2 linked regions of the Mus musculus genome follow. The protein of the gene in region 1 purifies or fractionates together with the protein of each later gene. This does not show direct contact. Links are inferred from orthologs where the notes say so. Each region holds a gene or a part of one and is shown in the gene's direction. Other genes may lie near its edges.

The links.
Region 2: the proteins of Pbrm1 (region 1) and Actl6a fractionate together in Homo sapiens (co-fractionation; 4 studies listed by BioGRID and IntAct, with this or other methods). This does not show direct contact. The link is inferred for Mus musculus from reciprocal best matches to the Homo sapiens genes PBRM1 and ACTL6A.

What each region holds. Positions count from the first base shown.
Region 1 is NC_000080.6:31,059,389-31,072,312, forward strand, and holds part of Pbrm1 (protein polybromo-1), read left to right. Parts: intron 1-2,080; coding exon 2,081-2,357; intron 2,358-5,357; coding exon 5,358-5,463; intron 5,464-7,933; coding exon 7,934-8,576; intron 8,577-12,924. UniProt on the Homo sapiens protein: Involved in transcriptional activation and repression of select genes by chromatin remodeling (alteration of DNA-nucleosome topology). Required for the stability of the SWI/SNF chromatin remodeling complex SWI/SNF-B (PBAF).
Region 2 is NC_000069.6:32,718,457-32,731,380, forward strand, and holds the end of Actl6a (actin-like protein 6A), read left to right. Parts: coding exon 1-18; intron 19-110; coding exon 111-200; intron 201-1,444; coding exon 1,445-1,506; intron 1,507-1,729; coding exon 1,730-1,844; intron 1,845-1,978; coding exon 1,979-2,059; intron 2,060-4,163; coding exon 4,164-4,259; intron 4,260-6,790; coding exon 6,791-6,877; intron 6,878-8,065; coding exon 8,066-8,146; 3' UTR 8,147-8,515; downstream 8,516-12,924. Other genes in the region: Mrpl47 (39S ribosomal protein L47, mitochondrial), read right to left, coding at 9,138-9,261, 9,976-10,071, 11,625-11,755, 12,704-12,800.

The sequences.
Region 1 (12,924 bases):
CTCTGTCATTTGGAGCTCTGTCCTTATTAGTAGTACCTATTGGATACAGACCTTTCCACATCATCTTTCCATATTGTTCTTAGAGAAAATACTACCCACGAGATGAACCAGCTCTTAGGTTAACAACTATTTACTTGATGCAGGAAGGAAAAGACGGCAGAATGATCATAGGGCCACAGTGGACAAAGGGAGTCAGAATGACGTCGTAATGAGGATGAGTCCAGTCCTGGAAACCATAAGTTATTTTCTTTTTCTTTCCTATGTAGGCCACTTTGAGTTTGCCATGCGCCATCATGTTAGATAGACATTTCTGAGACTCGAGAGCATCTGGGTTGCTGATTGTTTTTTAACATACACTACACATATACACAGATGAATCCGTGATCTTTCTGTCCCCTCTCCCTTTCCCTTTTCTCCAACCCACCTCCATCTCATGTAGCCCAAGCTTGCCTAAACTTGCTATGAGTCCAGAGATGACTTTGAAATCCTGATTCTCTGGCTTCCACCTCTTGCTTCTATTTCTGGTTTTTAAAAACATGTCTTTTTTTTTTTTTTTTTTAAGATTTATTTAATTAATTATTTATTTATTTTATGTGAGTACACTGTCACTGACTTCAGACACACCAGAAGAGGACATCAGATCCCATTACAGATGGTTGTGAGCCACCATGTGGTTGCTGGGAATTGAACTCAGAAATTCTGGAGGAGCAGTCAGTGCTCTTAACTGCTGAGCCATCTCTCCAGCCCCTAAAAGCACGTCTTGAATTGAGGCAAAGTCTCATGACCCAGAAAGAGAGTGAGAATATAGTCTGGGGGCTAGGCTAAGAAACCCATAGCCATATAATTTTTTTTCAGAAATGAACTTCCTTCTCTTATAAGATAGAAAACAATTAAGAATATTTACTTCTGTGTACAATGCTATAGGATCTTAGCCATTTTTTATAGACTAGAAACTAAATCTTATAAGTTATTTCCTTTTTTACATACTGGCCACTTGGAGACTGCTGGGTAGTCTAGCTAGAATTTATCAGTATCCTGAAGACATTAAAAAAATATTGACCAGAAGTCAAACTGAAAGATAAACTTTAAAAAAAAAAAAAAAGATTTATTTCTTATTATAAATAAGTACACTGTACCTGACTTCAAACACACCAGAAGAGGGCATCTGATCTCATTATGGATGGTTGTGAGCCACCATGTGGTTGCTGGGAATTGAACTCAGGACCTTCGTAAGAGCAGTCAGTGCTCTTACCTGCTGACCCATCTCTCCAGCCCCCAGAAGATAAACTCTTGTAATGATTTATTGAGCCATTTTCCTTGAATTTTAGCCTTTCTGAGCTGGTTTTCTCAACAGTTAAGTAAGGCAACCCCATCTTGGGCCCCTTCTGAACTCTGGTGTTAATAGTCTTTGTTCTGTACCATTCATATCAGGTTCTTATATCTTGATTGTGGACTATGGAGAAAAAGCATAATTGAATTGCTAAGTGCTAAATGCTACAAATGTAGAATTTAGATGAACCACAGTCTACTTGAGGCGACTGTGGTTTAGATAGGAATGCTGTGGGACTTGTACCTCCTATGGAGATAGTAGTATGCAGAGGTCTTTTTGTTTTGTCTCCCCCCCCCCCTTGGTAGCTGGGATATTTAATCTGTTTAGGAATAGCTATCTTAAGAGATAAAACACTGGTAGGTTGTTTTGTTTTGTCTGTGTTTAGAAATGGAGTGGCTATTTTATTGCATTATTTGCCTCAAAATGAAAAATGTATTTCATGTAGTTATTGAATTTCATTTTCTTATGGTATCACACTATATTTTTTGAACATTATATTTTAAGAGCTATTCTAAACAGGTTTGTCACTGGTTGCTCCTGCCAGGATCACTGTTTAATCATTTTGTAAATTTTCCTAATATTCTCTTACACCTTTTCAGCGTGCTTACAATGTTTATGACACATCTAATCAACATATTGTAAACATTATGAAGTGCCTGCCCACAAAAAAATTTTTTTTCTAATTCATGGTCACCCTTGGATAAAGTAAGCTGACCTTGTTTTTCCCCTTTTCTACCTTCCCCTCAACAGTAAAAAGAACATAAGAAAACAGCGAATGAAAATTTTATTCAATGTTGTTCTTGAAGCTCGAGAGCCAGGTTCAGGCAGAAGACTTTGCGATCTATTTATGGTTAAGCCATCCAAGAAGGACTATCCTGATTATTATAAAATCATCTTAGAGCCAATGGACCTGAAAATAATTGAGCATAACATCCGAAATGACAAATATGCAGGTGAAGAAGGAATGATGGAAGACATGAAACTCATGTTCCGCAATGCCAGGCACTACAATGAGGAGGGCTCCCAGGTATGGAGGAGCTCCTAGAGTGTGAAAGATCAGAGCTAGACTCTCTCTGTGTCTCTGACTCGTGTGTGTGTGTGTGTGTGTGTGTGTGTGTGTGTGTGTGTGTGTGTGTGTGAGAGAGAGAGACAGACAGACAGACAGACAGACATGCAAGTGAATCTCCCAAGTGTGTGTGTCCTTGTAAGTGCATGGGAAGCTAAAGGAGAAGGTATTCTGTATTCCTCAATCATGCTGTCTTATCTCACTGACTTTCAGCTAGGCTGGCTGACCAGCGAGCCCTCAGGATCCTTTTACCCAGTGTTACAGTTGTAGGCATGTGCAGTAGTACCTAGCTTCTTACATAGGGATCATCTTCTCAATTCTTTTTTACATTTCAAGGCAAAGTATCTCATGGTCCAGGCTGGCCTTGAACTTAACATCCTCTAGTCTCTGCTTCTTCAGCATTTTCATTTGCCATGAACTACCTCAACCAGCCACCTCTTCTTGACTCTAGTTATTTTTGGTGAGTGTGTTAATATTTTGTTATTCTTGGTTGCTTAAAAATGGAAGACAGCATGTTTTAAAGAGTAAAAGTTTATAGTTTAAAAATTGTTTACTGGGCTGGAGAGATGGTTCAGAGGTTGAGAGCTCTTCCAGATGTCCTGAGGTCAATTCCCAGCAACCACATTGTGGTTCCTAACTCTCTAAGATTGATCTGGTGCCCTCTTGTGGCCTGCAGGCATACATGCTGTCAGAATGCCGTATACAGAATAAAGAAATCTGTTTTTAAAAATAGATGGTCCTTGAGTAAGAGTACTTGCTCTGCAAACACACAGATTCAAGTCAAGTTCCCCTATGAACTATGTAAAAAGCTAGGCAGTACTGCACATGCTTATAACTGTAGCACTGGGGAAGAGAGCAGAGGATTCTGAGGGCTTGCCTGCCAGCCAGATAGATAGCTGAAAGTCGGTGAGATAGTGAGATAGGACAGCATGATTAAGGAAGATACCGGTTACTTTCCTTTGGTTTCCCATGCACTTTTTTTTTTTTTGGTTTTTTCAAGACAGGGTTTCTCTGTGTAGCCCTGGCTGTCCTGGAACTCACTTTGTAGACCAGGCTGGCCTCAAACTCAGAAATTCGCCTGCCCCTGCCTCCAGAGTGCTGGGATTAAAGGTGTGCACCACCACCGCCCAGCTGCCCTGCACTTATATGGCACATACATTTTAATCCTACTCTGTGTTGGGGAGACAGTTTAGTATGTAAAGTACTTGCTATGCATACATGAGGACCTAAGTGCAAGTCCCCAGCACCCAATGTAGAAAGCCAGATATAGCAGTACATACCTGTAGTACATACCAGTGCTAGGGAGATAAGACCACAGAATCCCTGGAACTACACATTGGTTTAGCCAAATTAATGGGTTCCAGGTTCATTGAGAAAACCCTGTCTCAAAACAAAACAAAAAAAAGGCAGAGAAATGATCAGCCAACTCTGTCCTGCATGCACAAATACACACAGACACACACACGAAAAATAAAGAGCTGGGTGTAATGATGCACAGTGTAGTCCCAGCAACTTGGGAGGCAGAGGCAGGTGGCTTTCTGAATTTAAGATGAGTTTGTTCTTCATGAATTATAGTCCTACCAGGGCTATGTAAGACTCAGTCTCAAAAAACCAAAATGATGATGGTAACAGAAAGATGAGTGTTATAAATGGCTCCTGCTTTGCCAGTGTCTGTGTAAGGAAATTTTCCTTCCTAAACTTCTGTTTTCCTACTGTATACTTTAGAAATAATAGTAGTAGTACTTACTCCAGAGTTTTATATGATATTAAAAAGATATTAAAAAAAACTGAGTTTTGGGAACAATACTTAATAGTGAATATGTACTCTAAGAAAAGCCAATACATTAAAATGTTTATCTTATTATTTATTTATTTTTAAGGATTTTAAAAAGATTTTGTTTTATGTACTTGAGTATTTTGCCTGTGTGTGTGTGTGTGTGTGTGTGTGTGTGTGTGTACACACACACATTACATGTGTGTCTGGTGTTAAGATCAGAAGAGGTTGTTTTGTCCCTTGAAACTGGAGTTACAGATAGTTCTGAACTTTGTTCCAAGGAATTTAGTATCCTTTGTGCCTTCTGTAGACACAGACACTTACATGTGCAGGCTAAGCACCCAGACACTTGAAATAAAAAATTAAACATCTATAAAATTTCTACCACAATGGATCTTAGATATTAGCATGCATATTTATACATTAGAATGACCCAGAAAGCTTCAAAATAGGTTCTCCCCATTAAGATAGGAGTGTTGCTGTTCTGAAGAGAGCCTAAAGATTGAGCTGTCGGCTCTCTTAAACCATGTTGGGTTTTTTGTTTGTTTGTTTGCTTTGTTTTGCTTTTTTCTTTTTGTTTTCTTCAAGAGAAGGTTTCTCTGTATAGCTTTGGTTGTTCTGGAACTCATTTTGTAAACCAGACCTTGAACTCACAGAGATCCACCAGCCTCTGCCCTCCTGAGTAGTGGAATTAAAGGCATGTGCCAACACCATCCAGCTGACTTAAACTGTGGTGTTCTTTTTGTTTTTTGGGTTTGTTTTTTTGTTTCTGTTTTTTGTTTTTTGTTTTTTTTTTTCGAAACAGGGTTTCCCTGTGAAGCCCTGACTGTCCTGGAATTCACCTGTAGACCAGGCCGGCCTAGAACTCAGAAATCTGCCTGCCTCTGCCTCCCAAGTGCTGGGATTAAAGGCATGTGCCACCACTGCCCGGCTTTTAACTTTTTTTTTCTCTTTAAACTGTGTTTTAAACTCATTCACACATAGTCATTATTTTTTGCTTGTTTGTTGATGTTTTGATATTTGAGTTAGGATTTCACTGTGTAAATGATGTCTGCCTCAAACTTGTGATTTTCTGCTTCCTGAGTGCTAGTAGTTATGTATCACCGCCCTCAGAGAGTAAAGACTTCTTTATTTCTTAATTACAATGTTTTTAGGAAAAAAATGTTAAGTCTGTTTTTGGAATGTAGGTATACAATGATGCCCATATCCTGGAGAAGTTACTCAAAGATAAAAGGAAAGAGCTGGGCCCTCTGCCTGATGATGATGACATGGCTTCTCCCAAACTTAAATTGAGTAAGTCTGCCTTAGAATTTGCTCTTCAGTTTAGTCTGTCAAAGAGAGACTGCTGGTTCCTTGACATTTCTTTAATTAAATGATGAACAAGTGTTTATTCACTGGCACTGCTCTTAGGTAACTTTCTTCACATTGACACTCTTTGACTGTGTTTTAAGTAAGAGTCTAAGAATAAGCAAGAGTATAAAGTTAGCTTTTTTGTTGATGGGACTGAGTATATGACAGTGAGAAATAGAACGGATTCATTTTGCTACAACTACAGAGCTTAGTCTCCGTTGTTCATGGGCTATAGTAAAGTAGAACATCGTGTAAGGACAAAGAGTTGCAGATTTGCTTAGCTTATGATAGACGAGGAGCAGAGAGACGTGATTCGACCACTCCATCAGGGACCCACTTAACTCCAACCCAGCCCATCTCCCAGTACCGCCATCAGATTATGACTCCTCAGGTCATCTGTTAATAAAAGCAGCACTCTCATGCTCTGACCTCTCAGTGATTGTATCTGCCAGCTTGGTTCTAAGTCTTTTATGAGGAACTTTTCAAGGTATACTTTATGTCCAAATCATTAAAAAAAGAACTTGAATATTAACGGCAGAGGTTTTCCTTATAGCCATTGACTGAGAAGAGTATTCTTTATATGAAGCCAGAAAAAAAGAGTATGGCAGGTTTTGTTAATTTTATTTGGTGTTACATAAAATTAAAAATGAATCCCAACAATTCTCCTGGATAAAATTTGTAAAGTGGGGGCTGGAGAGATGGCTCAGCAGTTTAGAGCACTGACTGCTCTTCCAAAGGTCCTAAGTTCAATTCCCAGCAACCACATGGTGGCTCACAACCTATGCCCTCCTTTGGTGTGTTTGAAGACAGCTACATTGTACTCATATGCATAAAATAAATAAATCTTTAAAAAAAATTTTTGGGAAATGAGAAATGTACTACTCAGGGACCATTTGAGTAACCTACGTGGATATGGTTTATCAAAATTTTTAAAGGAAAAGAACACAGAAAAAAAAATCACTGAATTAAAGGAGATATTTCTGAATTATTTAATATAAATGAAACAATGCTGTCTTAGTCAGGGTTTCTATTCCTGCACAAACATCATGACCAAGAAGCAAGTTGGGGAGGAAAGGGTTTATTCAGCTTACACTTCCATACTGCTGTTCATCCCCAAGGAAGTCAGGACTGGAACTCAAGCAGGTCAGGAAGCAGGAGCTGATGCAGAGCCATGGAGGGATGTTCTTTACTGGCTTGCTTCCCCTGCTCCCTTGCTCAGCCTGCTCTCTTATAGAACCAAGACTACCAGCCATTCACAAGGGGACCTCCCCCGTTGATCACTAATTGAGAAAATGCCTTACAGCTGGATCTCGTGGAGGCATTTCCCCAACTGAAGCTCCTTTCTCTGTGATAACTCCAGCTGTGTCAAATTGACACAAAATTAGCCAATACAAATGCTAAGCATACAATAACATCAAGTAATCTTAAACAAATACTAAGCAAACAATAACAATGTCAAATAATCTTTAAAGTTGTGTTTACTGGAAAGGACAAAGACAAGCATCTTTTTTAATGTAAACTACCCATAAACTGAATTTCTTCATTACTTTGTAAATTGCTAGCAAATGACAATTCCTTTTCACTAAGGAATTCTTCTTTTCATATAATTATAAAAGCATACACATAGTCAGATATGGAGATACATACTTGTAATCCCAGCCCTTGGGAGCTGGAGGCAGGAGGATCAGAAGTTCAAGGCCAGGCTCAGCTGTATAGTTTGAGGTCAGCCTGGGCTTCTTGAGACTCTTTTCTATAAATAGACTAGTTTGGGGCATCCTGTTACTGAGTTGGTTATCATTTCTAGAAATTACAATGAATGGAACTAGAATACATATGACTTCATATTTAGAAGTAAGATATAGTAAACTATATTAATACTTTGATATTCAAGTTTTAAGAATTTTCACACTTCAATTTGTTTCAACAACTTTTATCTTTTTCCTGAAGTGAAATTCTCAGTTCTCCAGGGTGTCAGAGGTGATAATAACGTCAGAATGTCAGAGATACTCGTTTGCTGAGCCCATTCACAGCTCTCTCATCATGAAAGTATTTGCTCTCACATCAAAATAGAGTGACCAGCTTTTGTGTCAACTTTACATCTTTAATCCTAGCCCTTAGGGGCTGGGGCAGGAGGGTTCAAAGCCCACCTATGTTATATGAGACTCAGTCTCAAAATGTTTATATACATATATAAATTTTATTTATATATAAATTATATTGCTGAAGGGTAAAGGTTTTCTTCCAGGTCTATTTTTGTCTATGAGATCTATCTTACTAAAGAGATGCTGAATACTGTGGTTTTACAAATCATTTAGGATAACCCCTTTCTTATGGTTGTGCTACCAACTATGTAAAAAGTTATGCTTATGCCATTTTTTCCACTTCGCATGACAATACCTCTCTCTCTCTCCAGGTAGGAAGAGTGGTGTTTCTCCTAAGAAATCAAAGTACATGACTCCAATGCAGCAGAAACTGAATGAAGTGTATGAAGCTGTAAAGAACTATACTGATAAGAGGGGTCGCCGCCTTAGTGCTATATTTCTAAGACTCCCCTCTAGATCAGAGCTGCCTGACTACTACCTGACCATTAAAAAGCCCATGGACATGGAAAAAATTCGAAGTCACATGATGGCAAACAAGTACCAAGACATAGATTCTATGGTAGAGGACTTTGTCATGATGTTTAATAATGCCTGTACCTACAATGAACCAGAGTCTTTGATCTACAAAGATGCCCTTGTACTGCATAAAGTCCTCCTTGAGACTCGGAGAGACCTGGAGGGAGATGAGGATTCTCATGTCCCTAATGTGACGTTGCTGATTCAAGAGCTCATCCATAACCTTTTTGTGTCAGTCATGAGTCATCAGGATGACGAAGGGAGGTGTTACAGCGACTCCTTAGCAGAAATTCCTGCTGTGGATCCCAACTCTCCCAATAAACCTCCCCTTACATTTGACATTATCAGGAAAAATGTTGAAAGTAATCGGTATCGGCGACTTGATTTATTTCAGGAGCATATGTTTGAAGTATTGGAACGGGCAAGAAGGATGAACCGGTATGTTTTCAAACCCATCTCTTTATGATAAATACATGTGATTTTTAATGCAAAACAGATGAGAGAGTTATGCTTTGATAAACTTTCTGCTTAGGTACATGGTTATAGTAGGTAGCCTTCCTCTTTTTTTTCTTCAAAATATTTATTTATTATTATACATAAGTACACTGTTGCTGTCTTCAGACACACCAGAAGAGGGCGTCAGATCTCATTACAGATGGTTGTGAACCACCATGTTGTTGCTGGGATTTGATCTCAGGACCTTTAAAAGAGCAGTCAGTGCTCTTACCTTCTGAGCTATCTCACCAGCCTGTAGATAGCCTTCTATCCTGAATTCTTGGTAGGCAAAACATATGCTCCCCCCACCCCTTTTACAGTGTTGGAGGGGTCAAAACTTATAAAGAGGGAGTTGAACGGTGGTCACCTTTAACCCCATCATTCAGGAGGCAGAGGCAGATAGATCTCTTGAGTTCAAGGACAGCCTGGTCTACAGAGCAAGTTCCAGGACAGCCAAGACCACACAGAGAAACTGTCTACAAAAAACAAACAACAACAACAACAAACTTGTAAAGAGCACTACTGAGTTGTCATCATAAGTGCCGGTGAGAGGGGCAGGACTGAAGCTCTTGCATAATGCAGAAACCTAAAATGCAGCCTTTCGCAGAAGATGTCTTTTAAAGGATCAATAATACAGTCTGTAATAAAACTAAAAGTAGGATTTTTTTTTTCTTTGAAAATTAGTCTTAAGAATGTTTTAAATGAATTAGAGAGCTTGGAGTTATTCTTTGAGGATAGACTGGTCTAAATCCATTCACTTTTTTAAAAACTTGCTTATTTTTATTTTATGTGTACTGAGATGGTGTGCCTGTATGTATGTCTATGCAGCACATATATCCAGTGCCCACAGTGGCCAGAAAAGGGAGTTAGTTTCTTTGGGACTAGAGTTACAGATGGTTGTTACCCACCATGTGGGTGCAGTAAATTGAACCTGGGTCCTCTGGAAGAACACCAGTGCTCCTTCTCAGCCCCCTCAATCTCTATTTCAGTTACTTAATAAGGCCTTTTGTTTTTTTATCTCATTTATCAATTTAAGAGCATAGTGTAGGACTATAAATGGTTTAAAAGAATAAATTTAATTTACTAAAATTCCTTCAGCTTTTTAGCCTGCGTATCTTTGGCACTTACTGGAAGAATACCCAGTGTAATCCAGCAATCGCAGTATAAGTTCTATATGCTCTTACAGGCACTTGGTTAAATTGAACTTACAGATAGTAAATCCTGCCCTCTTCTGAAGTACTGAGAGCTAGAACTTTAGACTGTTTAATTGCATCTAGGAGATCTTTGCTCTAGACCGTGAAGGAAAAGTAAATATTAATGATTGCTTTTCCTAGTGACAACTTTTGTAAAATATCATGGTAAAGCCCTTCGTGAAGATCATCTCTAAGTCATCTGTACTTGTCTATGGGACTGATAATCTTTTCAGTTTTTATTTGAAGAATTGGAGATGTGCAAGCAATAAAATTCATAATCTAACATCTAGTAGGTGATATGCCTTGGCTTGTTTCCCACTGAGAGCACTGCTGCTGATAGTTACCAGTTATGGAACACAGACATGAATGATAAGCATTGTTGAGCTCTATATTAAAGAGCTTGAAATCTCATGGTTAGACTGATACTTAAGGAAATGTGAAGTAGCCTATTAAAACCCAACATGATCACTTTCAACATGATCATGTAAGAAACTTTGTGGGCCAGAGTTTACCTAAAAAGGCACAAAGTATCATAAAAGAGTTGGAAGATGAATAGAGAGGCTGATACTCTGCATATGATAAATGGTATAAAGAAAGTGAGCCAGGCGTGGTGGCGCATGCCTCCAATCCCAGCACTTGGCAGGCAAATTTCTGAGTTCAAGGCCAGCCTGGTCTACAGAGTAAGTTCTAGGACAGCCAGGGCTACACAGAGAAACCCTGTCACAAAAAAAAAAAAAAAAACCACAAAAGAAAGGGAAAGGTTAGGGTGTAAATATGCTGTGTTTCAGAGTTTGAGGTGGATCCTTGATTAGCATGTTTAGGAAATGGTTCCTTGTGAAGAACTAGGGATAGAAATAAAGAGGAGAGTGGAGGCATCTTACAGTCAAATTCTATACGAGGTTTCATTCAAGAAATTTTTGTTGGGTGTTGATACTAGTTGATGAACATGCTCTAGTTCATGGGATGTAGCAGTACTTTAATAATGAAATTTAAGCTGGGCGGTGGTGGCACACGCCTTTAATCCCAGCACTCGGGAGGCAGAGGCAGGCAGATTCCTGAGTTCGAGGACAGCCAGGGCTATAAAGAGAAACCCTGTCTCGAAAAACCAAAAATAATAATAATAATAATAATGAAATGTAAATGCCACTCCTGTGGTTCACAGTTGCTTGAGTCCAGTGAATCTTCTAAAGAGCACATGTCTCATAGATTATGGGGAACTCTGTTAAGAAGTACACAGATTGATTTTTTTACGAAATAAGATCTTTTTATTCTCCCATTATTGATATGATAGGCTTTTGCTTTTGAGGGCTGGAAGATACAACCCATGACACATATAGAAACAGAAATCCTTATAGTTTATCTCATGCCCTGAGTTCTGTTGAGAAACGGAACAGGGGCCTGGAGCATGGCTCAGCAATTAAGAGGGCTAGTTACTCTTCCCAGAGGTCTGTGTACACCAGCACTCACATGCTGGTTCCTCCCCATCTGTAACTCCATTCTGACGGCACCTGACACCCTCTTCTGGCCTCCATAGGCACTAGGCATGTAAGTGATACAAAGATATATGTACAGGGAAAACACCCATAAACCTCAATTTTTTAAATGTTTAAGAAAGATAACAAAAGCCATTTTAATTTTTGTAAATGAAAATAGTATTGGGACTTCTTGTGGCATAAGAATCAATAAAAAGAGCTAGATGTTTAGTGTGTAAAGTTCTTGCCATGCAAGACCTGAGTTTAGATCCCTGGCACCCATATAAAAGCCAAGCATGCTGGACAGGCTTGTAGCTGCAGTGCTCGAGATGGAGGTAGCTGAGTGTTGACAACGGAAGACCCCAGGAACCAGTCAAGCCAGTCAGTACAAGACCCTGTCTCAGGAAATAGAATAGGAAGTAGGAGACACCTGACCTTGACCTCTGATCTCTATACACATGTACACACACCCACAAACAAATGACATACAAATGAACATGTATGTACCCATATGACCACACACACAAAGAAAAAATTATAATAGTTTCTTAAGAAGAATTGATAGGGCTGGTGAGATGGCTTAGCGAGTAAGAGCACTGACTGCTCTTCCGAAGGTCCTGAGTTCAAATCCCAGCAACCACATGGTGGCTCACAACTATCCGTAATGAGCTCCGATGCCCTCTTCTGGTGTGTCTGAAGTCAGCTAGAGTGTACTTATGTATAATAATAAATAAATCTTTTTTAAAAAAGAAGAAGAATTGATAAACCAAATGTAATGGTTTATATCTGAAATCCCAGCTCATGGAACCAGAGATGGAAGGATCTGAATTTTAGGCCAGCCTGAGCTATACAGTGAGAGCTGGTCTCACAAAACCAAAAGAAAGGAAAAAAGAAATAGCTTCAAATCCATCTGTTTAGTGAATTTATCTAATATAAATATTTAGACATTTATCTAGTATATTCACATTAATTTTAGGCATGAATACACATTTAGATGTTTAAGTATTCATTGGTAAATAAATCCATGTGAAATATACACATGTAGATTTCCAGAATAGTCTTCCTTCATCACCACATAACCCCTACCCACCAGTACTACTGACAGTTATGGAATACTAGAATCTGAGCAGTTACAGGCGGCAGTGGATCATTCTCAGCAGCTGGGAACAGCACAGTGCTGAGGCAGGACTGGTGACCAGTGCGTGGGCAGGGTTCCTAAAGAAGCACTCTGGCTCCCTTGCAGGTAAAAAGACTCCATAGGAAGACAAGTACAGAGAAGAGAAGAACTTCTCTTACAAGTTTAATTATTTCTTTTTGCTGAATGTCTGATTTACCTGAAAGGATTACTTAACAATTGAAGGAAATTAGAGTTGGTTGTTTTTCTGTCTTGAATTTTTGCTCTTGCATAGTCAACACCTGGTTTCTCAGGCTAAAAAAAAATTCTTTTTTTTTTTTTTTTTTTTTTTTTTTTTTTAAAAAACAACTAGTTATTTAGTTAGTTTTGAGCACGGTTTCATTGTCTAGCCCTAGGTATCCTGAACTTCCTGTGCCTCTGAGTGCTGGGACTTACAGTGTGCTACACTGCTCATGGCTTCTTAGTATTTTCCTGACAGGGTTTCACTGTTT
Region 2 (12,924 bases), on another chromosome or scaffold:
TACATGATTGCATCAAAAGTAAGCAGCACGTGACGTTCCTTGGTGAGACCTGCCTTTGCCTCCTCTCCTGGCTCGTGAAGTCTCTTAGCATGTGCTCTTGGTGTTCTCAGGAGGCTGTTCGAGAAGGTTCTCCAGCCAACTGGAAAAGAAAAGAGAAACTGCCCCAGGTTACAAGGTCTTGGCACAATTACATGTGCAACGTAAGTTACCCTTACTGTCTTTATAAAGTATTAAGTCCAAGGAATTTTATTATTTTTTAAACAACACAGAGGAGGTTTATTACCCTGGAGGGACAAGTGGGCTGCCTTGGGATTGGACAGAGACGGCCATGTTATGTTTTTTTTAAAATATCTGACAAAAGCAATAGCTTGGTGTGGGGAGCACTTTCCATATTATTGAAACAGCCCCTACAAACAGGCCGCTACACAGCAGTGTGAAGAAGTGGGACAGGCTATGGCTTTAGGGTAGAAGTAGGAATGCTACTTAATACTGTTGTTGAGAAAATGGTTTCAGTTTGTGTAGAACTTATTACAGCTTAAGTGAGATTTCTTCCCTAGCATTTATCAAACATAAAGTGTGTGTGACTGCTCCAGCAGTGGGCCAGTGAGACTCTGCTGGAAATATGTCTGCATGTGTAGCCCTATATAGGTAAGAGATCAGTGTATTGCCATCTCATAGATATACATACTAATTTCTAATAGTAAAAGGATATGACGCCATAATTGACTTAGTTTATTCTGAGAGCATGTTGCACCCAAAGGTGTATGTATTAGAACATGGAAAATTCTTGGAATTTTTCCATATCAACATGCAGGCCATGTTCATTTCACAGCAGTCACTAGAAATTCTATAGATATGACGAGTCTGTATGCCATATTCAGGTGATAAATGTTTCTCTTAAAATCAAGTTACTGGGTGGTGGTGGCACACACCTTCAATCCCAGTGCTTGGGAGGCAGTGCAGTCAGATGTCTGAGTTAGAGGCCAGCCTGGTCTACAGCATGAGTTCTATGACAGTTCTATACACAGAGAAACTCTGTATCAAAAAACCGTAGATAAGATAGATAGATAGATAGATAATAGATAGATAATAAATCAGGTTACTTTTAAGGAAAAGAATGATCTTCTGAAACTGGTTGAGTTTGGTGGGGCCGTGGTACAGGTTCCTGGTTGTTTTTAATCTCTTGTTATTGTCCCATAAGTGGTGGAATTGAAATAACTTGTGTAATTATAATTGTAGAAATGAATTTAATATATGTTATAGATTGTAAGTTCCCATGTAACTGTAGAACTGCGTATGCTGATGCTCAGCTTTTAGAAGAGTTGCCTGCCCTCTTCAAATGACTGAACCGTGAGAAAGTGGTCTGATGCCATTGTGTAGTCTGTCACGTACAGTGCACATTACTAAGAGTTCAACCTGATTCCTAACTTCCTTCTGTCCACAGTGCGTCATCCAGGATTTTCAAGCTTCCGTTCTTCAGGTGTCAGACTCCACCTACGACGAACAGTACGTTTTCTGTCTAACTGTGTACTGTACTTCAGAAATAAGGGCTTTGGTTTGTTTAACTATTGAAGGGTTGTAGACTGTTAGCCTGAAAACATACAGCATATGCTGACTACTGCTCTGGGTGTTTGTGCTCTAATTTCTCAGCCATTGGTAGCTCTTGTAAGTGGATTATAAGTTTGAACAGAGTGGCTTGCTTTCTGTGAACTGCTGTTTCCGTTTGTAGAGTGGCTGCACAGATGCCAACCGTCCACTACGAATTCCCCAATGGCTACAACTGTGATTTTGGGGCAGAGCGGCTGAAAATTCCTGAAGGGTTATTTGACCCTTCCAACGTAAAGGTGTGAAAGCTAATTTCAGAATTGCTGTGGCTTTTCCTGTGGAGAGAATTTAATTACGAGATTAAAAAGTCTAGATAAGACTCAGTTTGCCAGTAGGTTTTCTGTGTTCAGAAACACCTGCATTCTCGTTCTAGGGACTGTCTGGGAACACGATGCTGGGAGTCAGTCACGTTGTCACAACCAGCGTCGGAATGTGTGACATCGACATCAGACCAGTAAGTGCCAGTCTCTACTGGTTACTGTCTCTTAGAGCACTGAAATGTCCCAGATTTGGTTTGCAGTTGGCCCCTGGCTTTACGGGCTGTTTATAACCACGTGGAGAGAGATGGACACCCTGATCTGACCGGCAGCTGAGCTCCTGGATTGCCACAAGTCTTCTGTGAACATGGCTTGTGGCTGCTGGACTGGACACAACAGAGTCTAGAATGCTTTACCCTCACAAAATTCCTTTGGTCGTTGCTACTCCAGATTTCCTAAAATGTAGAAAATCAAGATACATAGAAGTTAGTGATTTTTCTTGACTTTTACTTGTAGTTTTCAGAAAAGTGTGGTTTAAGTGTGCAACTTTGACACAGATTGTATTAGATGACCTTTTTTGTTGTGCTATGTCAGGTTTTAAACTGTTGACACTATATCAAATTGATTATATAATATACTCATCTATAGTATAATTTATTAAGCTATAGATTTATTTCATAATCCACTTAGTTTATAATCCACATACTATCTTCGTTTTCAAGTTAATTTGCTTAAAGTATGACGTGAATAGATGTGAGTGTGTAAACACCATACTCACAAAAGGCTGTTGGGTGACCACGAAAATATTTTCTTTCAAGTGTCTTATCACTCCATACCACTTTTCGGATAGTGGAAGTAATAGTTTAGATTTTTTTTTTTTGTAGGTGTGTGTGTGTGTTGTATATGGAGGGACAGTTTTGTGGTGTTGAGTGTCTGTCCCGTCACATGGATTCCAGAGATCACACTCGTGTGCAGATGTGCACAGTGAGCACCTGTAGCCCACTGAGCTGATTTTCTGCTCTAAGTGTTGGTGTTTTCTTATGCAAGGTCACTTAAAGGCAGAGAATTAAATACATTTGTAAGAGTGGAGCTTGATATTGAGGTCCTTTTCTGTTTATTTAACGTTAGCAGATGGGACCCAAGTTTTGCATTTTCTAGTCCAAAATTTTGACAACTTATATGCTTGGAGTAGGTTTTTTTTTGTTTTTGTTTTTTTTTAAGTTTTTTGAGACAGGGTTTCTCTGTATAGCCCTGGCTGTCCTGAATCTCACTTTGTAGACCAGGCTGGCCTCGAACTCAGAAATCCACCTGCCTCTGCCTCCCAAGTGCTGGGATTAAAGGTGTGCGCCACCACTGCATGGCTGGAATAGGTTTTAAAGCTAAGAACAGAGCCAGTTAAAAAGGCAGGCTGGCATTTACATTTGATAAATACATGCAAAGTAGAAGTAAATACATCCCTTCTGAGTAGGAAGTTGTTTTTATTTGGGAAGTTCAGCCTGTGCTCTAAAAAAGTTGCAACATTTCTACAAAAGAGAAAGCATTTTGGCCAGGAAACATTATCATTATCTGTCAGGATCAGAAAACAATTTTGTCTAATGTAAAATATCATGACTTTCAGATGAACAAAGATGAATAATATTATGAAATATACCTCTAATATTAGTAGCTGTTTGCCAATAAGAATTACAAATTTGGGGCTGGTGAGATGGCTCAGCAGTTAAGAGCACTGACTGCTCTTCCGAAGGTCCTGAGTTCAAATCCCAGAAACCACATGGTGGCTCACAACAACCATTTGTAATTAGATCTGATGTCCTCTTCTGGTGTGTCTGAAGGCAGCTACAGTATACTTAGATATAATAATAAATCTTTGTGTCAGAGCGAGTGGAGCCGACTGGAGCCAGCAGCAGTCCTAAATTCAATTCCCAGCAGCCACATGATAGCTCACAACCATCTGTACAGCTACAGTGTACTCATATACATAAAAAAAACTTTAAAAAAATTATGAGATTAATAATAATTGTTTTACATTAGTGGCTCTAGGCTGGCAAGATGACTCAGTGCATAAAGGTGGTTGCCGCCAAAGTCTGATAACCTGAATTTGATTCTCAGAATCCACATGTTGGAAAAAGAACTCCCAAAAGTGTCTTACTAATTTCCATATATAAGCTGTGGCTTGCTTGCTTACATACATACAAAATAAGTAAATGGAACAACAGGTTGGTAGCTGGATCCAATTCCCAGCACCTATCAATACTGTGGGATTGCTGGAAACACCTGGACATGATTCTGCTTCTCTCCTAGGGTCTCTACGGCAGTGTGATCGTAGCAGGAGGAAACACGCTAATACAGAGTTTCACTGACAGGTTAAATAGAGAGCTTTCTCAGAAAACTCCACCAGTAAGTTTTTCTGTTCTTTGTGTTATTTATTTGTGTCCATTCTCACCGAGTAGAATTTAATAGATAGTTGTGTGCCTTTATATTATGAGTAATATCTATTAATAATGTATTTGTCCTATGTAACACCTATTGGTTCCTCTTCTGTTACTTGAATTTCTTTTAAATGTTTGTGTGTGCTGTGTACATTAACCCATGTATGTCTCTCTGGAGGCCAGAGGTCAAATTCGGTGTCTTTTATCTCTCTCCACATTATTTTACATACACACACTCACATATAAGTGTGCACACATGAGCACACATACATATACACTCACAGGGCATATGGTGCTAATTTTCAAGGGAGAGGAGAATCTGGAGGGGTAATTTACATGGTGTATTAATAATACAAGGCATAATATGCTTACAGGGTATTAAGTGTTTCTGTAGAAACTGTCTTAGTTGCTGATGTTAAACAGAAGTGCTGTCTGGGTATTAATACGCTTGCATGATTGACATCTGCCGTCAGTATACTGCAGAGTTGGAGATGATAGTCTAGAGAGTGGTCCTCAATCTTCCTAATGCTGTAGTTCCTCATGTTGTGACCACCACACAATTATTCTCATTGCTAATTCATAACTATAATTTTTCTGGAGTTTTTTGGTGGGGGGAGGGTTCGAGACAGGGTTTCTCTGTAGCCCTGGCTGTCCTGGAACTCACTCTGTAGACCAGGCTGGCCTCGAACTCAGAAATCCGCCTGCCTCTGCCTCCCAAGTGCTGGGATTAAAGGCCTGTGCCACCACTGCCCGGCTCAATTTTTCTGTTATGATTTATAATGTAAATACCTGATATGAAAGCATCATTAACCCCCAAAGGAGTCAAGGAGGTTGAGAAGCACTGGTGTAGGAGAACCTGCAGTAGAAGTTCTGACGGTTGGATTTCATAGAAAGCCAACAAATACAACTGCAGGCATGAATGGCCCAAGGTCTGCTGAGGAGTGAACTAGGGGCTGGTGTTATGTAGCCTTCCCTGCATCAGCTATTCTTGCAGAGGACATGAGTTCCCAGAACCCACTTTGGGCTCCAGTGCCCTCTCTGGCCTCTTCAGGCACCTGCACTCATGTGTACATATACTCACACAGGCATATACATACATACACATAATTAAAATAATTAAATAAGCCCCCCTCTCCCCAAGAGTAATCTAGAAACCTTTGTCCTTAAGGGAGTAATTAAAACGAAAATTGTCAGAAGAAAAGTTCCATTCTGGAACAGACACCCATACTAGCACATTGCTGGTTCTGGGCTCTGACACCTCACACGCTAATGCACTATGAAGGTTGTCCACATTTGTGTTGTATAGAGTGCCTGTTTGGACACCTTGAAAATGATTCCTAGAGGCAGATTCATAAGGAGGAAAGGAAAAGACCCTAAAGAAAGTGAATTGAATACATCATTGACCCCCGGCCAGGTGATACAAACCTGTTATCCCAGCTACTGCAAGGCTGAGGCAGGAAGATCCCAAGTTTAAGGCTGGCCTGGGCGATATACTACGTTCAGAACAGAGGCACTAAGGTTTTAGTTTTTTGAGATGGGGCATATGTTGTTGTCCCATTGTAGACCAGGCTGATTTACTCAGCATTCTGCCCCCTTCAGCCCGGGTGCTGGGGTTGCAGACATGAGCGTGAATCAAGTCACTTGTGGTCTGGCATTTTGATTGGGAAGAGTTTCGGTAGCAGGATCTCTGGGGTAGGGTGGTGGGTGGGAGACTTCGAAGAAGAGGAATGAAGCACCTGGGGCCTTTGGAGGTGCATGAACTGTAAGGGCTGGCCTTGTCCTACGCAGGTTTTACAGTTTTGGTTTTGTTGCTTTGTTAATTTATGTTTAACAGGAAGAAATTATGTACATATATAAATCCTGTCTTACAACTCTAAATGAGATTACAGAGTAACAGTGTTCGTGATTAAAAGAACATCATAAAATATATTTAATAGAGCTGTTCAAGGGAGGAGACTGCAAGCTCTGTAATGTCTTTAGTGCTGCAGAATGAAAGCTCTCAGGGGAGTGTCATGTTGAGGAAATTGAACAAGTTTCCTGACAGCAAAAGTTAGAGCATGGGTTTCAGTATTTCCAGTCCAGTGTGTCTTCCTACCTGGTGTGGTGTTGCATGCTTGTGTTTGCCCAGTCTCTTGAGTCACATAGTTCATTTTCTTACCCGATATTCATTAAGACCTTTCCTGAAAAGTAGCCTAGCCTATGCCAACTATTAGCTTAGCCATTTGACACCATGTGAAACTAATTTGTTTTTCCGTGTGTGTAGAGACAGACAGGGTGAGTGGGTGTGAGTGTTGGATGCTGTTGTAGTCCTATTTGACCTCAAACTCACTATGTAGGCCATACTGGCCTGGAACTAAGAGATCTGCCTGTCTCTGTATCCCAAGTGCTAGGATTAAGTACATGTTCCACCATGCCTCTAGAGGTTTTTCAGCACTGAATTCCCAGGTTGGCGGTTGTGGCTATCCCAGTATCCTAACGCTTCTTCTTCATCTGTTGTAGAGTATGCGGTTGAAACTGATTGCAAACAACACGACGGTGGAGCGGAGGTTCAGCTCATGGATTGGTGGCTCTATCCTAGCATCTTTGGTTAGTAGTTAAGATTCCACTGACACAGTCTCTGGTTTGAGAGAGGAACTTTTGAGAATAAGATTGTGTGTAGCAGTTTATAAAGAACGTTTTATCATCTCACAGTGCACCATATTTTTCTCTGAACAATTACATCTTTTCTGGTTCTTTTTGTTGGGGCTCAAGAATTCTTTTAGTATTTATTCTATATTGATAAAAATCTGTCTTGGTACTACAAGTAACTCTCCCCAGTTTATACATATATTTTTCCCTAGAACACCACTCTGGGTTTTCTGGAAATGGTTTATTACAATTTTGAGTCATAAAAACTTTCAGTACAAGCAGAAATTTTAACTTAAAAGCAAGATTCTTATTTGGCTTAAATATTGCATTAAAAATACTATTTAGTAAAAATATTAAGAATGATTTCAGTGCTTCATTGATCTTTGCACTTAAAACTGACAGATGAGTGGGGACCTAGTAGGAGTATCTGCTTAAAACCATTTACATATAAAAATGACTCCCCACTCCAGCAACCTCAGGCTGGCCTCCGACTTGGAGCCGTCTTGCCTGAGCCTGAGTGCTGGGACTACAGGTCTACACCACTGCACTTGGCTCTGTTGGGTACATCAGATGCATCATCAGTGAATAAGTCACCCCACACGGTCTTCCCCTTCAGTGGGATCTGTTGAGCCTCTGTAATACGTCTTGGCCCTGGGCAGGCTTAGGTGCACTGCATTTATCGATGAGCCATTTCTTGAGTTCAGTTGTTTCCCACCTCCTGGTGAGGCTGTCAGGAGTTGGCTGTGTAACCAGTAAGATCACTGTGCTCGGTCTGAACAGGAGTCCACCTTGAGTTGAGAGTGTGAGATGGAGGGCATCCCATTTTCCCTCAGGACCTTAGGTAACTGGCATGTGCCCACTAAGAGGCCCCACTACTGCCCTAGGACCCTTCCTCATGCCTTTGCCAGCCACGTTCTCATTTCTTTTTGATGTAACAGGTATAGAGGGGCTTAGTGTTCTCTCAGACCTGAAAGGCCAGGCTAAACAGTGTCTTTGGCCTGTCTCAGAAGAAGGAGCGGAATAGGGGACAGTACTGTGTTGGAGGAGGGGTTTAACAGTTTAGCAGCTAAGGACCTTTATGAGTACAAAGCACCACCTTCTAATAAAAAGTGAGGCATAATTCTGCTGTTTCTTCCCATCTTACAGGGTACCTTTCAACAGATGTGGATTTCTAAACAGGAATATGAAGAAGGAGGGAAGCAGTGTGTAGAAAGAAAATGCCCTTGAGGGCTCCACCCTGCCTGCCCGTCACCTCAACGTCTGTAGCTTTAGTACACTCAGGAAAAGATGACCATCTTTTGTAGAATGTTTATACATGTTTGCATATTTCAATTTCCACTTAAATTTTTTAAGGCTTTAACTGGCTCTATAAATTAAATGAGTTTGTGCTTTCCTTGAAATGCACTTATTCTTATTACAGGCATTTTATAATTTTGTATGAATGTCTATTTTCTCTAAATATTTTGCTTTCAGTAAGTACTCTCCAGCTCTCCTGGGGGTTGGTTGGTGGAATTACTCTGTATTGACAAGTACAAGTTACTGCCTATGCTTTGTACCTTAGGCTACAAAACTAAATAAAAATCACTACTGTCCTAGAAGCGTGCTGGATTTGTCTGTGTGACTGGCTGCTGTCAGCGCTGCTTCTACCATTACTTGATGTGGGGAAGCAATCACTGACTACCAGTGTCCACATCCCTTTCCTGCTAACAATTATGTATATGGATAATTCACCTGCATGGACATCTGCACCACACTAGTTAGTGCCTGGTGTCTGCATAAGCCAGAAGAGGGTGTTGGTTTCCTACAAACTGGAGTTACAGAGGTTATGAGCTTTTCTATCTGTGCTGGGTTCTCTGGAAGAGCAACAAGTGCTCTTAAACTCTGAGCCCTCCTCAGATCCTTCCCCCTCACAGTTTAACACTAGTGAGAACAGCATTTCCAAACTGACTTTGCTGCTAGCCTTGCTCTGGCACCCAGCATTACATTTGCATTACATTAAGCTGCTTAGATGTCAGGACCCATTCAGTGGGAACTGAGCCTGAACTCTGCCTGGTTTTGATAGAAGGAGCACTACTTGTAGAGCTAATGAAGATGCCATGTGAGCTAGAAGAACAACTGATGTCACTTGACAAGAACATTTCTTTATAAACTGCTTAACAGGTATTCACGTCAGGACACAGGCTTTAAGAACAATGGAACCAGACTTCTGGGTCTCATCTTAGACACTACTTGATTTCCGTTCTTGAGAGAGATGTGGGAACTTTGCATGGAGAATTTTTTCTTTCTTTTTCTGTAAACTTCTCTTTCTTGCTTCAATGCGGGCGTGTTTCTCAATTCTTAGTCTAGAATAAAAACAGCAACTTAGACAAAACCATTCCATTTCTCAAAACGTTCTGGCCAACTCTATAAGAGCATCAGTCATGTCGGCAGCACGTGGTGTGTATAAATCAAGCTTTAACAGTGATCACAACCATCTGTAATGAGATCTGATGTTCTCTTCTGGTGAGTCTGAAGACAGATACTGTGTGCTCATATACATAAAAGAAATAAATCTTTTTGAAAAAGGGTGAGTGGGTGGGTGGAAGAGCCGTCCCTAGTTCCCTTAGGATCACCTAGCTGGTGGTTATTGCCAACTACAGTTATGTAACAAGCACCGTACTCTCCTTGTCTCATGAACTGAAGGCAGTCTGCCACAGGAAACCCTGAGGTGGCAGTCCGTAGCATAGCACTATTTCAGTGCTGCCAACACCCCTTTCCACTAGCCCTGGAATAAGGAGCTTACACTCCACATGGTACTGTCGAACTTCCCTCATTTCCAGACATACAGAAGCCATACAACTTCCAAAAGGATATGTACACACTATTGGGACAGTGACTTTATGCACATAAGGTTTTAGATGTATGGCATCAATTTTCTCCTTTTTTCAACCTAGTGCTATTTCTTTTTTCAAAGTAATGAAAACATATTCTTCATGTAGTAGAAACCAAGGTGTAAAGGAAGCTCAGGTCACAGGCCATCTGGAGTAAGGCTGCTTCACCATGAGGACACTGCTCACCTGATAAAGCGATCCACATAAGGCATTGCGAAGAACCGCCTCCTGTTGTATCTTTTATTTAGGTACCAAGGTATAGGCCACTGCTTGAATTTGTGCCTGCCAAAAAAGGGAAGTTACTGCTTTACATAAAATACTTGATACATTTTTACTTCAATTTTCACTGTTTTCTAATTGGTCTCTAATAAATTAAACCAAATAAAAATTAGTACATAAAAAGGGCCAGTGAGATGCTGAGCAAGTTCCCTGTGACCTCCACACATGCACCACAGCACACACCCCCACAAACAGGTAAAGTAAAAATTTTTAAAAAGCAGTTTTAAAATAAAATTAGAAAATGCAGTTAAAATTATATTACATGCTAGAGATTTTCAACCAGAGCTACATCCCTAAGTCCTTGAAAGATTTATTTTGAGATGGGGTTTCTCTGTGTAGCCCTGGCTGTCCTGGAACTCACTCTGTAGACCACAGGCTGGTGTTGAACTCAGATCCACCTGCCTCTGCCTCCCGAGTGCTGAGATTAAAGGTATGTGCTACCACTGCCTGGCTCTTTGGAAGAGTTTTTTTTTTTTTTTTTTTTTTTTTTTTTTTTTTTTGGTTTTTCGAGACAGGGTTTCTCTGTATAGCCCTGGCTGTCCTGGAACTCACTCTGTAGACCAGGCTGGCCTTGAACTCAGAAATCCGCCTGCCTCTGCCTCCCGAGTGCTGGGATTAAAGGCGTGCGCCACCACGCCCGGCTTGGAAGAGTTTTTAAGTGACGTTTTGGCAATTTCTCTCTTTCTGGTTGGATTAGATGGTTCCTGACAGGATGGCTGAAATTCTACATCAAGTGAGAGGTGCTGTCCTGAGCTTGGAAAACGTCTAGGCATTTCAAGCTTCTCCACTTTCGGACTCATGTTTAAGACACTACATGTCCCCGAGTCAGTGGATTCTCTGAGTCCTTTACTCCTCAGTGTCTAAGCTGAGTCTCAGATCCTTCCCCAGGAGGTAAGCTGTTCAGTACTTGGCCAGTGTCTAAGCTGAGTCTCAGATCCTTCCCCAGGAGGAGGTAAGCTGTTCAGTACTTGGCCTAGGGCTTATCCAGATGCTAGTGAAACAAACAATCTGAACTTGTTGCTTAGAACTCTCAAGAACCCCAAGTTCTTAGTGCACAAGGTGGGCAGAGGTGTACCTGAAATTAGCTTTGAATTTTAGAATCTATATAGGCTGATTTTTCTGTCAGATGTATCTGTCAGAAGAATTCACAAAACTCTTGAAAGAACTTATGATTTATACAAGACAAGAACCCATGGGGATGGGTTGTGTGGTCTGGAATTTGTTTTACAAGACAAAACACTTTGTCGTTTAGGGGATGGGGACCTCTCTTTTTTTTTTTTTTTTTTTTTTTTTTTGGTTTTTTGAGACAGGGTTTTTCTGTATAGCCCTGGCTGTCCTGGAACTCACTTTGTAGACCAGGCTGGCCTCGAACTCAGAGATCCACCTGCCTCTGCCTCCCGAGTGCTGGGATTAAAGGCGTGCGCCACCACGCCCGGCTTGGGGACCTCTCTTTATATAAGACCGCTAATATATCCACAGGAGAGGAGTTTTAAAGGTCCCGAGAGGGGAAACCAGGCCACCCGTCTCCACTCTTAGAAGTCAGTATAATCATGTACCAGACAATTCGTCCAAAGATGTCCCTTCTCCAAGCACCGGGTCTGGGCTTTTCTTGACCGGTCTGAAGAAGCCTTAGAGCATCTTCCCTCTCCTGGACAACTTTATCTACGTTATCCATGGAATCAACGACCTGCGGTGAGAAGAAGACAGCTAACTTTAGCCGTCACCTGCAACTGCATTCCAAAAGAACTCTAGGGCATCCACAAAGCGGGAACTTGTACTTTTTTTTTTTTAGAAACCACCCTTTACTGTACTTCGTAAGAAGCCTTTGATGAGTGTTCACGGGTGTCTGTTGCATGACTCTCCGTAACCTGTTGGAAGTTTTCTCCTTTCCTTTCTGAATCCTTGCTTCCGAGGGCACACGGTACTAGCACTCAGTCTGAGAATGCAGCAAGCTAAGGAGAAGTGACAACCTCTGCTGCCCTTGTCCAAGCCAAGGACACACTTGGGCTAGGCAGACACACGGTGTCACACTTGTGTCACACGTGGCCTTTCATCTGCAGGCAGGATGTGCGAATGCTTAGATGGTGTGGGGAAGGGAAGGGGAGGCAAGTGAGCTGAGGTGAGGCTCAGTACTATGGCGGGTACAAAGCTCGGCTCTGCTCTCACTGGCTACACATGACAGAAAAATCAAGTGCTGAGCTCTAAAACAATCTAGGGGTGAAACAACCAACTAAGAAGTGGGCTGTGCTGCTGGAGAATGGCTGTGCTGAGCTGGAACGTGAGTGCGACGGTCACTGGGGACGGAATGTGGACTCCAGGGCACGAGCTCCCCACACAGGGCTGCCTCCGTGGATGAACCTGCCATACATGGCTGCCCCAGAAAGCAGCTCACTAGAGACTTAGTGTATGCCCTGGCAATTTTACTCCCAGGGAGCTGCTCAGGATAAAAACCAATACCCATCTGTAAGTAGCAACTGAGAATGAGGGAACAGCGAAGGTGCCTAGCACTTGTGACAAAAGGCTCGCATGTGGGACTGTTGGGATGGTGCTGGAAAGACATGTAAGAAGCATGACCTCGTTCCCTTTCAGCGTTACCCAGGCGGGCAGGGGTCTGAGCGCCCGCCCACAAGCCTACCTTTTCTAAGCGCTCCGGACTTGGCATTGGCAACCTCTGTCGCTTGGCCTCCTGCTCCAGAGTTAGAAGCATGTTTCTTTCCTTCAGAAGGACATACCTGTACCAAACACAAAGCTGTGATGTGATTCATTCAACAGTGATTTCTTACATCAAAGTCAAAAGCCAGGAAAGTCCTGCAGCCCTTCAGAAAGCTCGCACAGCACCATCGAGAAGAGCCACCC